4 linked regions of the Drosophila melanogaster genome follow. The protein of the gene in region 1 interacts with the protein of each later gene in a pairwise test. Each region holds a gene or a part of one and is shown in the gene's direction. Other genes may lie near its edges.

The links.
Region 2: the proteins of Bet1 (region 1) and CG34198 interact in a two-hybrid assay, tested with the Drosophila melanogaster proteins (one large-scale study listed by BioGRID).
Region 3: the proteins of Bet1 (region 1) and Tim17b2 interact in a two-hybrid assay, tested with the Drosophila melanogaster proteins (one large-scale study listed by BioGRID).
Region 4: the proteins of Bet1 (region 1) and CG13795 interact in a two-hybrid assay, tested with the Drosophila melanogaster proteins (one large-scale study listed by BioGRID).

What each region holds. Positions count from the first base shown.
Region 1 is NT_037436.4:19,259,411-19,263,007, forward strand, and holds Bet1 (blocked early in transport 1), read left to right. Parts: upstream 1-1,983; 5' UTR 1,984-2,245; intron 2,246-2,302; 5' UTR 2,303-2,339; coding exon 2,340-2,693; 3' UTR 2,694-3,027; downstream 3,028-3,597. Other genes in the region: nes (nessy), read right to left, coding at 1-158, 705-813; Max, read right to left, coding at 3,466-3,597.
Region 2 is NT_033778.4:19,681,888-19,684,971, reverse strand, and holds CG34198 (uncharacterized protein), read left to right. Parts: upstream 1-1,994; 5' UTR 1,995-2,072; coding exon 2,073-2,252; 3' UTR 2,253-2,526; downstream 2,527-3,084.
Region 3 is NT_033779.5:15,483,094-15,486,102, forward strand, and holds Tim17b2 (translocase inner membrane 17), read left to right. Parts: upstream 1-1,635; 5' UTR 1,636-1,743; coding exon 1,744-2,274; 3' UTR 2,275-2,452; downstream 2,453-3,009.
Region 4 is NT_033779.5:7,722,514-7,728,103, reverse strand, and holds CG13795 (uncharacterized protein), read left to right. Parts: upstream 1-1,805; 5' UTR 1,806-2,008; coding exon 2,009-2,171; intron 2,172-2,437; coding exon 2,438-2,569; intron 2,570-2,630; coding exon 2,631-2,794; intron 2,795-2,854; coding exon 2,855-2,943; intron 2,944-3,059; coding exon 3,060-3,529; intron 3,530-3,586; coding exon 3,587-3,735; intron 3,736-3,802; coding exon 3,803-3,931; intron 3,932-4,000; coding exon 4,001-4,207; intron 4,208-4,266; coding exon 4,267-4,548; 3' UTR 4,549-5,059; downstream 5,060-5,590. Other genes in the region: CG13796 (uncharacterized protein), read left to right, coding at 1-8, 69-275, 347-607; CG13794 (uncharacterized protein), read left to right, coding at 5,459-5,590.

The sequences.
Region 1 (3,597 bases):
GAAATAGGTGGTTAGGATGGCTATCAGTGAGTGATATGTGTCGAGCCCATAGTTAAAGTAACACAATCCAGCGCCGCATCCAGCAAAGAACATGTGATGCACTGTTTTATCGGCAATAACAGAAATAAATTTTTGATATAATGCTGCCACCGGATAACCTGAAACAAATTATATACATTAGTTGGATTGATTTAGCAATACAAAGTTTAAATCATGTAGTAAACATTTTCAACTAATTTGGAAGCTTCAACGATTCTTTCACGTTTAGTTAACGTTTTTGCATAGCCTGACTGTAATCAAATTCCTATCTAATAGGAATGAGTCACATTTTTATGGAATTTTGGGAGTCATGGTAAAATTTTAAAGGGGTTTGTAATTTATTTAGGAACATTGTTAAGCATTAAATCTTATTGTTACTAAGCAGTTTGTGAAAAAGTTCATTTAACGATACATTTCAATTAAAACCATGCAAGTTGTATATGACCACTGACAAAAAAAAAATCAAAAATAACACAGTCTTCAATGATAGGTACATAATTTATAAACACCTGTGCAAACATATGTATAACGTATATGTGCAATGAATTTGCGTGATATGCGGATATAAATATCCGGAGAAAATATCTTAACTTAATCACTTGACTTTAAGATACTTCGAGTATTCAGTGTCCCTACCAAAAAGCACTGCTGCTGGGGCATCTTACCTGCCAGAATGGTGAGTAGCAGCCGGAGTGCCTCCACGGGAACGCCCACTCCCGAGGCGATCCCGTCCATCAGGCCATTGTGGGGCAAGTCCTCCTCGAATTCCGCCATGCTAAATCTAGAAGAGAAAAGAGTTGCAGTGCTATCAGTGAACTCTACTCGCGTGATTCGGATTCGCTGGGTTATTGCGCTCCAGTCCTTATCACGCCGTAATTGTTGCTGTTGTCATTGGCGCATATTACGCAAACTGATTGTTTTTTGATCATCAAAGGAGTGCGTCAAGGGGCAAGGGGGAGGCTGATTAAGAAAAGAGGAAGAGCAACAGCAACAACAAACGAGTGCACTTGGTCAGGGTCAATGAAAATTCAAATGCAAAGGTCGCATTATCTCGGCGAACCAGTGAACTCGATAATGACGCACTTGCCACCGCACGAACTTGAATATTTTATGCTTATTGATTTCACGGCCAGTTGATGAAAGCGAGCGGGAGCAACAAAATCGAGAGCGGCATGCCAAATTATGGCCAAAATTACCTAAAGTTAAGTTACTAACACTGGAGCAGTGTGGCCGTAGGCGAGAGCACGGAAATTACCCGACTCTAACAGTAATAGGCACACGGATTAACCCACTGTTTCTAACATTTAAAAGTAGTACTTAGGATCCACATATAACCATATATGTTTTTACTATCTACTAAAAACATGCTTTATTTATATTTGATTAAATTTGTTTGCATATTAAAACGAACTGCTAATAACAGTATTTTATGCATTGTTATTAAATAATTCTTTGACATATTTTACATATGTCCCATATTTTTATGAATATATTTTATTTATTTTATTTGAAATAATTACAAATAATGTTTGAATTGCCTAATTACTATTTAATTAATATTAAACTAATATTGTTTTTGCATTATATATAATAAACTAATAATTCTTACACATAATATGTGTAATAATAACTGTACGTACCATATTTTAATGAACACCTAAATATAATACAAATTTTTTTTTAGCGGCGATGGTGAAACTGTGGAATTTTGAACATGGGGACGATTTTTATTTATTTATTTTTTAGTTATTTGGAGGTGAATTTTTGCCGACCGCCGACTGTCTCGTTGTCTGTCCCGATTTCCCTAATCAAATTTTTATGAAATCTTAAAACAATATATATATATATATATAGTAAGTTTTGGAAACTTATAGAAAGAACTTACGATATTAAAAGCGTATTGGCAAGCAATGGGTTAATTGAAAATCGTAATCTCTGCCACACGCATTGCTACGGAATAATTTTGCTACTCCGCTTTGGTCACACTGCTCGGCGACTAAAAATTGAATTGCATGAGAATTTAAAAAGTTTCGTTTAATAAGTAGAGGCATTAGTCAACCGATTCTGGAAATCACAACACGAGGTCAAGGGTCAATGCACAGTCAACCACAAAGGTTGAGCCAAGAAGCGTATATCCCAACAGCTGTTCTGCCGCTGGGTGAGATTACATGTTTACGTTTACGTGTCACTTCGAAAACTGAGATTTGTGAGCATTGTATTAATTTATAATTAATTAATTTCGTTAAATTCACCCGATCCGCAGCAATCCGGATGCCAAACTGGCACACTCGGGGAGCAGTATGCGCCGCAACAACTACCCGTACCAGCCCCTAAACCAGCACCCTTCAGGGCCCCATCCTGCGAGCCACGACGCCTTGGAGGCGGAAAACGAGCAGGCGGCGGAGGAGTTGAAGCAGAAGATCGGGGCCCTGAAGTCCCTCACCATCGATATAGGCAATGAGGTGCGCTACCAGGACAAGCTGCTGCGCGGCATCGACGACGACATGGACCGGACGAGTGGATTTCTGGGCAACGCGATGACGCGGGTGGTGCGACTGGCCAAACAGGGCGGTGGTGCTCGCCAAATGTGCTACATGTTCCTCTTCATCCTCGTCGTGTTCTTAATCCTCTGGATAACCCTAAAGTTTAAGTAGTTGTTGGTAATTTTATAAAATATATACCCACATATTTGTATGGTTTAGTGTAGTCGAAGGTTGTATTTGGTTCGGAATGCGGTTCACTTTTGGCTTAAAACCATAAAGTTAAATATATTTCTTAAGTTCAAACCAATATTAGAAAGACAGATACGTACGTTAAAGTTTTTTCAGCTCGTTCTTTATAGTTCTCGAGTAATAAGCAAAAGGAGATTCCAGATATAAATAAGGGAAGGTTCCAGTATCAAGTGATCAAATTACTTGCAAAAATTGCTGATTTTATTTAGCCCTAATCGCATAAAATGTCAATCCTTTTATCATTTATAAACTTCTTCAAAAGCAGCACTCATGTTACTCAATTGGTCCGTTATATTTTCCAATTTCCATAATAGAATTCATCAACAAGAAGCCCCTGTTTTTTTCTAAAAATATGTACTTACTAGTTTACTTTATTCTTTGCGCACAGAGTGACAATTTGTTGAAAGTAGAAAAGACGCACGCATACAAATTAAGGTCGATTGGGTGGGTTACATTTTGGGCTTACAGCTAATGATGATTATGATTATCGGACTTGTTACTGTTCTCATTTCCACATAATTTTAATTTTCACTTTAATTCGAATTTGGAACCGTTTCCTTCACAACTTTTCGAGGGCTATTGCTTTCGTATAACACAACTCAAAGTTGAACTAAATCCACGTAAGAATTCAGAATGTCGGTGAAAACGGAAGCCGGAACACGCCTGTAAGCAGCACTTTGGATTGGATCAGCGGCTATGCGTGGAAGGTCTTCATCTTTTTATTGCGTCTACTGAAGTCCTGGTCGAGGTCTTCGTCGTCGGCCTCCTCGCTGCCCACTTCCTCGTCGCTGAGAAATTCGCTGAACTGATCCCCATTTGAACTCTC
Region 2 (3,084 bases), on another chromosome or scaffold:
CCTTCATCCTGCCGCTTGCCACTTTTTTAACAACCACCCACATGGCACGCCTACCCACCTGCCAGCTATTGCCTACCTGGTTTGGTAGCCTCGGCTCGGCTTTTGTCTTATCAAAGTTTTTGGCGCGCATGTGTTTATGCCACAAATGGCACTTTTGCGGCAGCGCATTTTATTTTTTACTGCCACTTTTCGCCATTTTGCTTTATCATTTTTATATATATTATATGTGTCTATACAGAAACAGTGCCAATAGGCTTGGTTCTGACCAAAGTTCAACCTACCATTGTTGCATTTGGACAACACTGCGTATACTCTATTTATAAACCCGAACAGTGGATTTAAATTTGTTCTAATTGAAATATTTTCATGGCTTGTAATAAGGAAACTTATTTGCCTGATTTGTAATATTTTTAATGGATTCTTTGCCTTTACTGCAGTTCTTAACTGTTGCTTTACACTGGTTAAAACAACAGTGCTCCCACTTCCCCTTTCCGGTTTTAAACAACCCTCCCAATAATAAATCTGCGTGAACCCCATTAACCCTTTAGTTATGTTCTTGGAGTCGGAGGAAAGTAACGACTCTATTAGTAGAGGAATTTAAATTGCCGCCTAGTTCGTTTTTATTATCCTCGAGGAGGGAATGGAACCTCCGGCGTAAGGTGCGCAAGCCAACTAATGACCCTGTATTTATATGACAGGGGAAAGTTTATAAATATTTATGGGGTGCTGCTGTTGCTTACTGTTGTTGCTGGCTTTCATCAAGCTAAAACTCATTTGCTTATTTTAAAATTCCGAGCAGGCGTAGTTTCATTTTTGACACCCGGCATTCGTCGCCGGTCCCCCAAAACCGATGTTCCCCATCCGTTCCTTTTTTAGGGATCTGCCGCACGTTGTTGCCATTGTCACGCACACACGTACTATATTTTTTACGCGCATATCATATTACACCCTCCAAACACACAGGGACATTCCCTTGCCTTAAAGGACCCTCCGACCAACCGACCAGCCAACCAACCAACCCCTTTCCCAACTGGGGATGCTACGGGGATCCATCGAGGTTTGGGGACCCAGTCGAAGTAAATAGAATCACGTACACTAATTATCATCGCCATTGCACGAAGGGCGCTCAAAAATATATATTTTTATTAATTTCAGCAAGGTAACGCCGCTCTAAAAGCCAACCAACCACCTTACACATACCCCATCTGCGGTGTTGGGTGAAAATTTTAATTGAGATCTCCGCTATTTGATAGCAACGAGGAACTATTCGCCCGAAATTGATGTGGCCGCTGATGCTGATGGGGCCACTCGAATGGTTGGTTTTGAATGCAAAATGCGTCGTCGGATATAGTTTTGAGTGCTCAGATAAGGTGGCATATATAATTAGCTGCCCCATTTGGCATTATGCGACATTTGTGTGTTTCAAGTTTCCCCCGATAGTTTGTGTAATGTGAGTCATTCATTTGATAAAGTCATAGGGGAATGAGAGTGCCGAACACGAGTTTAATTAAAGTGCTAATCTGACTCCAAGTAAAAGTAAATAACAAAGAATAGAGTATAAGATAAAAAATATAAAAATATAACCAAATATATAGACATCTTAGGGCTTGGAAAATGATGATGACGTTGTTTGTTGAATTGCAAGAAAAATAAACATCAGATAATACAGTATACAGCAAACCCGATAAAAATTATCAGTATATTATCAGATTTTGCATAACTTGTAAGTTACAAGAAAGGCCTTTGTTTATTTGAACAACAACGCTTGAATGCAGCGAATTCATAAATAAAATCATGTAATAAATAACCTATCGATTTTGTAGTTTTCTATCATAAAGCTGGTTAGACAACCAAGGTGGGACCCCAACGAATCGCTAGGTACTTCACACAAATCGCTGGCCACTGATAAGAGTTCCAGTTGCTTTTATCTATAGATAACACCCATAGCAGAGATTGCCGAGAGCGCGGCTATAATAGCACAATCCCAACAATATGACCAGTGCCGAACTAAACGCGTGCGGTGCAACAAGTACATTTTATAATTGAAAACAACCGGATTACAACCAATCGAAATGGACCACAGAACTCGCGTTGTGGAGGTGGTGCAAGTGCCACCCCAACCCTCGACCACGGTGATCGTGCAACCTCCTCCGCCGCCGCCTCCTCCCAAGGATAACAGTTGCTGTTGTTGTCCTTGCTGCCCCTGTTGCTGTCAGTGTGGCGAATGCTGTTGCTGCTGCACCATCATGTGAAAGACGAAGGTGCCCGCAGGCAAAGGACCTCAGAACCCCTAATTCGTTACGTTAAATTAACTTTCTATGTCTATGGAGGCCGCAAACAATTCACACAGTTTTTTCGTGCAATAAAATTTTACGATTCGTTATAAATAACTCTGTGTAGGGCTCACACTGTGGTTGCCATTTTTTTTGTGGCGAAGGGAACACGCTTGGTAACATATTGTCTTACATAAATCCCAATGCGAAAGTACCACAATATAATAAAAAGCCAAATTTAATAACATCCCACAAAAATTTGTAGTTTTATGATGCGCGAGCAGGGGGACAATCCTTTTTGGCTGCTGGAAATGCTCACCACATCATTTCAAAGTTAGTTCACATTCCGAGTTATTATTTATATGTTTCTCAATTTGCCAATAAAAGCGGAAAATGTGTCAAGAGTGCTGCCAACTCCGGTTCCAGGCCCATGCTGCTCTCATTTGATAAAGGATTTTATGACTCTTGGCTCTTGAATTGCAACCGCAGCGTCGGAGCTCTCGCCCCAAATATTTTGACGAGGGTCCCCAAAGTGGGACATTATGTGGGCGGGAGTCGGACAACGAATGCGAGTGCCTTTTTCCAAAGTTAGTAGTCTGCTCATTTAACATAATTTCTGACTCGCAATGCTTCTTTGCCAAACGTTTATCTAAAGCCCAAACCTTATTACTCATACGCACTGTGATAATTCAGACGGAAAACCGTGGTATTGATATCGAAGTGAACAGGCTGAAAAAATCCCATAGTTTAACAGAGTAGGAAAATTTAACACTTTTAACCTGTTTTCCAAGTTTAATATAAAATACTTGAG
Region 3 (3,009 bases), on another chromosome or scaffold:
CGGGCAAATGAGTTCCGTTCTGGATTCCCTTTGTAGTGGGTTATGCAGATGCATATTCCTTAAGATATAACAAAATGTTGCATCACAGCTGCCCAAACACTGGCCTCTAACGGAGCATTCGGAGATCGGAAGATGGAAAACGGAACCGTTTTAGAGATCATATCTGTTCGATATTATAATTTTTGAGTTTTTACTGTTTACATAATCATTATTGTTTTAAAAAACATTGCCACAATAGATTACCAAACCTGCATTTCTGTAGCGTACATTGTGGAGCTCGATTTACAGTTGTAGAATGCTGTTCTTAAAATTTTGAATATGGTTTTAAATTGTTCTGTATCCAAAGACAACTGCAGTTTTTTTAATTTCACATAATACGTTGGTATTTTAACAACAAATAATGTTAATAAAATTACTAAATGGGCTAGTAGGCCAATTCCATTTGGCCTGTGACTTCCCAGAAAACTGTAAGGCTCGAATCTCCGGAATTCGTGGGAAACCCATGGTCGGATCGCGTCCTAGAACGGAATGGCCAATCCTTTCGCATAATGTGCCCACATTAACACCACATCGATCTAATCCCATCTAAATCATTTATAAGCGACAACAATTACCGTGGAAATGAAGATTTCATTGGAAATCCCGCAGCAGTGGCAAACAATATGCCCAGTATTTACATTTACAAATTATATATAATGTCTTATCCTGCAGCCATTTCCCGTCAAATGATCCCCGATAACCTTCTCGGGAGTGAGAGCAATCAATCGAGTGCAACACGTTCTAACGATTTACATGTCAAGTTGACGAGATTTGTCCTGTTGAACAATGGACTGGCGCTTCGTGTGTGTCCAGGTGTCCCCTCATACTTAAATGCCTGCCCATCGATTTCGGTTTCGATCGGGGTTTCGCTTTCATTTGTCACTGCTGTCTGACACCTTGTTATGCGGAGATATCCATCGAGGGCCCGAATGCGAAGACTTCCCCCTTTTTCGAGCTAAGCAAACACAGTTGCGGCAGTTTCAAAATTTCGATTATGCTCGCGTGATAATTATGCATGCAATCGTAAGCTTCCCTCCTGAAGTAGTTTGACATACGCAGTATAAAATAGTATTGGGTCTGGAGTTCTGGTTTGGTTCGGCTTGGCTTTATCGGTCGACGACAATCGGTCTCATTGTTTCCGTTTCCCACCGTCTGGCTTTGCCTTTGTACGAATTGCGTCTTTCGAATGGCCCCATCCCCATCCCAATCCGAATCCCAATCCCCCGTCCCCTCCCCATTCTCGAGCCGAAGTTGTCCAGCTGCGGCAGTAAATTTTATGGTTAACTACGGTCCGACATTTGTGCTATTTAACCTTTTTGTGCCATTGAGCTTCGGGGCAAAAGATCCCCGATCCACGTGCGACTCTGTTTGCTCTGACTCTGGTTCATATGCTAATGGGTGTCTGGTGGGGGCACAAACAAAACCAAGTACTTCTTACTTACAACCTGTAGTTTGAAATTTGAGTTCCTGGACATGTTCTCCATGATTTTAAATCTACTAGGTATGTAGCAAGCTTAGTCGCACAATTCACAACAAACTCTGGAATTGACAGACACAAAACTCATAATTTCCTTATACATATCGAGCGACGCCAAGTCACATATAACTCATTTGTAGAAAATAAGCAGAAGGCTTGAAATTTAGCAAATTCAGTTTTTAATTTCGGCCAGTGATAGGAAATCCTGCCAGTGGAAAAGTGCAAAGATGGAGGAGTATTCGCGGGAACCGTGTCCCCATCGCATCGTCGACGACTGCGGAGGAGCCTTTATCATGGGCTGCGTTGGAGGCGGGCTCTTCCAGGGACTCAAGGGATTCCGGAACGCACCACAGGGACTAGGACGCAGGGTCGCCGGCAGTGTGGCTGCCATCAAGACCAAATCTCCGGTGATAGGTGGAAGTTTCGCCGCCTGGGGTGCAGTGTTCAGCATTGTGGACTGCAGTCTGGTCCACTTTCGCCAAAAGGAGGATCCCTGGAACTCGATAGTGAGCGGAGCAGTTACTGGTGGAATTCTGGCCTCACGCAATGGAGCGGCGGCCATGGCTGGAAGTGCAATTATCGGTGGCGTACTGCTCTCAATGATCGAGGGCTTAGGCATATTTTTTACACGTTTCGCGGCGGAACAGTTCCGAAATCGTGAACCGCATATCATGCCTGATGCCAATGAAGGATACGGTGACTTCAACTCTTCCGGATTTGGATTTCCGGGTGCTCAGCAGGCCACTGCAACTAGCTAAATTCCGATTTTTCTTGTCTGGGTATATTAATACGTAGTCCTTTTTGATTTTCATAAGTGCTAGATTTAGCAATATTCCATTTGAAAAATTCGATGACAATAAAATATGGACAAAATTGCAGTATTTCCATTTAAGCTGTTTTTGCAAAGGAACCAATTTATTAAATTTCAAACAATTTAACACGGATTTATAATTATTAAAATACAATTAGCTGCCGTTTGCAGCTCGTTTTGGAAGAAGGAACAAATGCAATTGGCCCTCTTATCGTTCTCCGTGTTAATTCATTCGTATTCATAATCATTATTGCCTCAACAGGTAGTAGGTTGTTTCACACTTGCCCGAATCCACGACAAAGACACCTGACACGTGTCATAGGTCAGCGTGAGATATTGGCAAATGTTTACCTGTTCCAGATGACTACCTGCGATGCTGCGCCGGCGCATAGAGTCAAGTGTCCGGTCGGCGGGTGTGGCCACTTTACAACCTGTCCACTCGAGATGACCGCGGTGTTCTGGCCATTAGACTGAGTGAGGTACTGAGTGGCACTGGCTACCGGCCACATGTCCTGCTCCTAGCTGGAAAGTCTCGAGCGCACTCAAATCAGAACTTTTCCCCCGCAAGGCAAAAAACCAAAGGCAACGCCGATTTCCCAGCAACACATGGACGGTGGGAAGATGGGAAGTCGAGCCCAGTTATAAAATCGTGGGAAAACGCCGCCTACAAGGAAATCCCTTT
Region 4 (5,590 bases), on another chromosome or scaffold:
GTACTCAGGTGAGTTTAAATTCTTTTCATTTCTGAGAGCATACTGTAATACATAATTATCCATTTCAGTTGGGCTTTAGTCAGCTGACTCAGCTGCCAAATTTGGCAGTGTTTACACACTTGCTTATTTCGGGAATCCTTGTGCTGATGACCACTTGGGTTTATGGACGCGTTCGTTTCCAGTGCGACTTGCAGTTTATGTTAGGCAAAACGATCTCAAGTTTCAAAATTTTCTTTATACGCTTTGCCACGCCCATTTTTCTGGGACTGTGTCTGGTGAGTAGTGGTTATTATTATAAAATTATTTGTATATAGTTAATGACTGATATTATTGGAATTTCTTGCAGTTTCAACTAACCTATTTATTTACGCGTGATCGCATACACGATGTCCTGATTTATGTGAGTCAGGGCTTGATTCTCCTAACGGCCATATCTTATATGGTTTACAAGGTATGTCGGACGAATGGCGATTGGCGCCAGCGATTGCAACAGTGCCTCGCACCACATGACTGGCATCCGGTGGATGCGGACAACCGGCGATTCTACGAGGAAATCATGGGCATCTCGGAGATGCTGGTTATAGATGCCAATGCCAACACCACATAGTGCCTAAATATCGAATACTCCCTAGATCAAAACTCAATACTTACAGCGTCGTCACTTGACAAATGAACTGAACTGAACTCACTTTTATTATACACCCATATGCGGTCACATTCACACATGCAAAAAATACAATAACAAACACGCACACTAGTATATAAATAAGCGGATCCATTGGCAATGGCGATTGTTAGTTGTTGTAATGAAGTTGTACTGATATTTTCCAAAAGCTAGCTATAGTGAACAATATACTGGTGATATTTAGTAGTTTCCTACTAAAATGTTCAACAAGCTTCGGCCAAAAATATTGTTATGAACTAATAAAATTTTACCTTTTAGGCATTGAAAATGTTGAAGTCTTTTTTTGAAGTTGGTAAACGTATAAGGAAAAGAGTTAAATTTATGATATACGGCTGTCAGCACTTTAAACTATTTAATGTCGCACTAATAATAATAATAATTTTGGAATTTTAGTTATAGAATATATGACGTTTAGAGTAGATTGTTAGAAGCATGTTTTTAAATGCATGCAAAATAATAATAGTTTGAAAAATATATGAGGTAATTGTATATTATTACCTAAAACTAATCGCTAATAACAAACAAACATAAGAAAAAACAAATATTAAGACATTATCAATGCGTTATTGAAATCAACAGCCAGGGCGTTATGGGGTTTACTTGCTTTTGCATTGCTGTCTGAGTTTTCCCCCAGATTTGATAACTTTGCGGCTGTCTTGTTTGTCATCCCATTTCCCGAGCACGACCATATCAGTTTCCAGTTCCAAAATCGAAATGAACTTGGCAATGCACGACGATAGGCGCACATAAGAGAGACAGGCACAGATATAAGAGCTCTAATAATCTGAATTTAAAGCAAAATAACAATAAATGCAAATTTATGGTCGAGATCGGAAATACACTTACAAAACGTGTAATAACAAATTTACAATTATTTTGATAACCGAAAGCTTGAAACTATAGATAACTCGCTTAGATATATATTTTCCTAGCATATCTTTATTTTGACAACAGATCTGTTTGAAATTAGAGGGAGGTTTCAAATGAATCTCGGTATAAAGATACCCCACTTCCATAGTAATAACTGTGTGATTAAAGACCAAGTGTGCATCGCCTAAGTTGGGGTATCTCATTCAAGAGGGATGAGCTAAACAGAGGCCTGCTGTCGGAATCGGATTCAGTTTGCCGGCATCGGTTCTACTAATTAGTCCGTCAATTTAGAGTAAAACGCTCGCGGATCGGTTGCAGAAAAAAAATATATATATACTAATATTACCTCTGCGGGAGTGTAAAATTAGATCGTAGTTATATATACTTATTTACAAAATTTGCTTAAATCCATTCTCGCCCACATTTTGGCGGTAATATTGTGGGTAGTTCAACATGGTATATGAAACATCGTATGATACCGGGCATAAACCCTTTTCCCCCGATCTGAATCGAGGAAAATGGGATAAGCCAACGGACTTTATGTTCGCCTGCTTTGGATTAGCCTTGAAGTTGGATGTCTTTGTGGCATCGTTTTGGATGTTCTTCGACATGGGCAGTAAGTAACGCAAGGGCGACTACGTATATTATATTGCTGATAAGGTTCGGATTTAGACTAATCTGTGGAGGGGCGGTGCTCTGCTAATGTTCTCTTACCTTCTCATCTGACATACATACAAAACAATGCCTAATTCTGTCGATATTTATGTATTTAATGTAATAATTGTGTCTCTTTATACAGCACAAGAGATAACAGTTTATACATCAGAATTTAATCTTTATCTTTGAATGCATTTATTTAAATACACTATTTGCTTGGACCAGTTCTTGGAATACTGCCGTACTTTGTATATATGTCCATTTACTTGGTTCCCATCATGGTCATTCACTCCTTCATGGGTCAGTTCTCCAGCAGTGGATTCATCTCCGCCTTTCGCCTGTCGCCTTTCTTTAAAGGTACGTACGTAACCGAGAAGTTTAAACAGATATTAAATATTGATCGAAATATCAATTTCAGGCATGGGATATGTGAGTGGATTTTTAACTATCTCCATGCTAATTTACTATAGCATTTTTGCTGCGGTTCCACTTCTGTTCATAATAAACTCATTTCGACCCACTTTACCTTGGAGCTGTGAGGGCTTGAGTTCTTGGCACAATGGAAGTGCAACGCTATCTAGTGTATGAAATTTGTGTATGACTAAATTGAATTGAAGACTAAGTACATTTTTTATATTTAAGTCTTGTAATAAGACACTGATCTTGGAGGACTTTTCGGAATACAACAGATCTCACCAGCTGCTCCATGTACCATCCGTGCTCTATTTTCAGTAAGTGCTCCTATTTATATAGCAATAAAACATTACCTAATTAATCCAATGCAAATATTTTAATATTATTTTAAGAATTGTTTAAAAATAATTTCTTTTTAACTCTATGTTTACAGAAATCACTATGATAGCATGCAACAGGATGCGGTTCCGGATTGGTATAAGGATTACGAGTTGTCTTGGCATTTTGTTGGCCTATTCGCAATCATTTGGGTTGTGATTGCATTTATTTTTTATAAATTCTCAGAGACGGCCAAGTTTGGAAAACTTATACGCTACATGGTGATTGTTACCCTGGTTCTTCTTTTAGTGTGCTTTGTGCGATTCCTGTTCCTTCCGGGAGCTCTTAACGGGCTCCACAGATATGTGACTCCAAAGGCAAGTGACATGGCCATGGGAGTAGTGTCCACATTCATCATGGTTCTTCATGCATTCGGAGCTGGTTGGGGCAGTGTAATAACTCTGTCCAGTTTCAACGGTTTCAAGACTGACATCATGTCGTATAGTTGGATTATTTCCTTTGGACAGATCTTCATTTATATCATGTTTGGCATGGTTTCCTTTATGCTGGAACACTACTTTAATGGTAATAGCACTTTATAGATTTGCAATATCTTTACTGTATTGAAGTTATCCCTTTCAGAACTATCCGATGTTGATGATAACGGACATGTTTTGAGCCATTGGCTGCTATATTTGTCAAGTGCTTCTGCCTTGTCCACAATGGCTTGGCCAAACCTATGGACTTTTATATACTATTCTATGCTTTTAATTGCTGCTCTAATTGTGATGGTGATGATAATCTACACAATTAATTTTTATTTTTCACGCTACTAAACTTAAATAATTTTATTTTCAGACGACGCAAATCTTCACGGTTTTGCAAAGTTTGTTTGATGAGTTCGAAGTACTTAGAGTGAGAAAACAAGAGGTGACCTTTGGGCTAATTGGAGGTATTGCACTCTGCTCCTTTTACTTTTGCACCAATGTAAGTACTTAAGTTTACACAAAAAAGATATATTATTAAGAAATATTTTAAACAATTTTCCGTTTCTAGCATGGCATTATTTTCTTTTCGGCCTTGGGTCTTGATGCCATTTTCTCACATAGTTTGCTGCACTTACTGCTCCTTTTGGTGGTTTTGTGGATCTATGGTCGCGAACGATTCCAGCGAGATATTGAGTTCATGTTGGGCCAGCCCTTTGCCTCCTGGAAGGTTTTCATACTCCGCTTTATAGCTCCAATAATTTTAGTCATTTGTCTGGTTAGTTAGTTAGTTAGTTGCTTGTTGCTTTGAATAATCATATTCTTTTAACTAACTAGCTCGCGGGAATTGCTCTGTCCATATCGGAGCACTCTTATTCCACAACAGTGGTCTTCGTGATGTCAATTGTCCTCGTGGTTTTGCCCATTCTGGCCATTCCTGGATATGGATTTTACTACCTCTACCAGAGCACGGGCACCTTTTGCGAACGCTTTAAACGCACCTGCCGACCCACCGATTGGTATCCGGTTGAGATGGAGCACCGCCAGCAGTACGAGGAAGCTGTGGACAACACGGAGATGACCCACCAACTCTTCGAGGTTACTGAGGAGGTCAACTAGTTACTGATGCACTTAGAAATGTACTAAATATAAATATATGAGTAATTTTAATGCGTATTTAAAAAAAGGTATGCATATATATACAATCATATTGTGAAAGGTGGAAATGCTACACTTATTGCACTATGCTTACAGCAATGGGTTTTACAGCGTTTATCTCACCTGAATCGATCAGGTTCACACGTGTGACTGTCCAGAGAAACGTAGATATCTCGGAAAAGTTAATAAAGTTGAGCTTAAAAAATCTGTGACGTCCACAATTATAATGCTTACATAGTTTGTCTATCGAGAGAGAGAGAGAGCTTTTAAAAACGTGTAATTATTAATGTAGTTATTGATTAATTATGGTTATAAGCAAAGTACTCTTATTGACGTCATGTTAGTGTATAGAAATGCCTTTTAATTTCAGAATGCCACTTCGGTGACTCACTACTTTTAGGAACGGTATTAGTTTCATTGAGATGTTTGTTTTAACATATCCAAATTAATATACATCATATTACATTAAATTATTAGGGATCTTCTTACTGTCTGTTTGAACTTGTTCACATTACATAGTATTACAAAGTAATACCGACTATTTATTCAAAAAATTATGCTTAACATTATTTCTTAAAAGTGTATTTGATGGCCGATCTAGTGTGAATGGTCCGGGATAGGCTATGAGCATCTCAGTCCAGTGGAATCAGCTACACTGCGGTTTATCAGCGGAATCGGATTTAGTTCGTCCGCATCGCTGCTACTAATTAGTTCGTCAATTTAAAACGCTCGCGAAATGTTTGTTGTTTGCCAAAGCTTTTAATAATAAGTACCTCCATCGGCGTGTGAAATTGGATATATTTCTTTTTATACAAAAGTTTTTCAAATTCCTTTGCTCACACAATTTACCGGGCTATACTAACGTCACAAAATGATATATGAAACATCGTATGATAGTGGGCACAAACCCTTTTCCCCCGACTTGAAGAGAGGAAAGTGGGATAAGCCCACCGACTATATATTTGCCTGCTTTGGATTAGCCCTTAAACTGGATATATTTGTG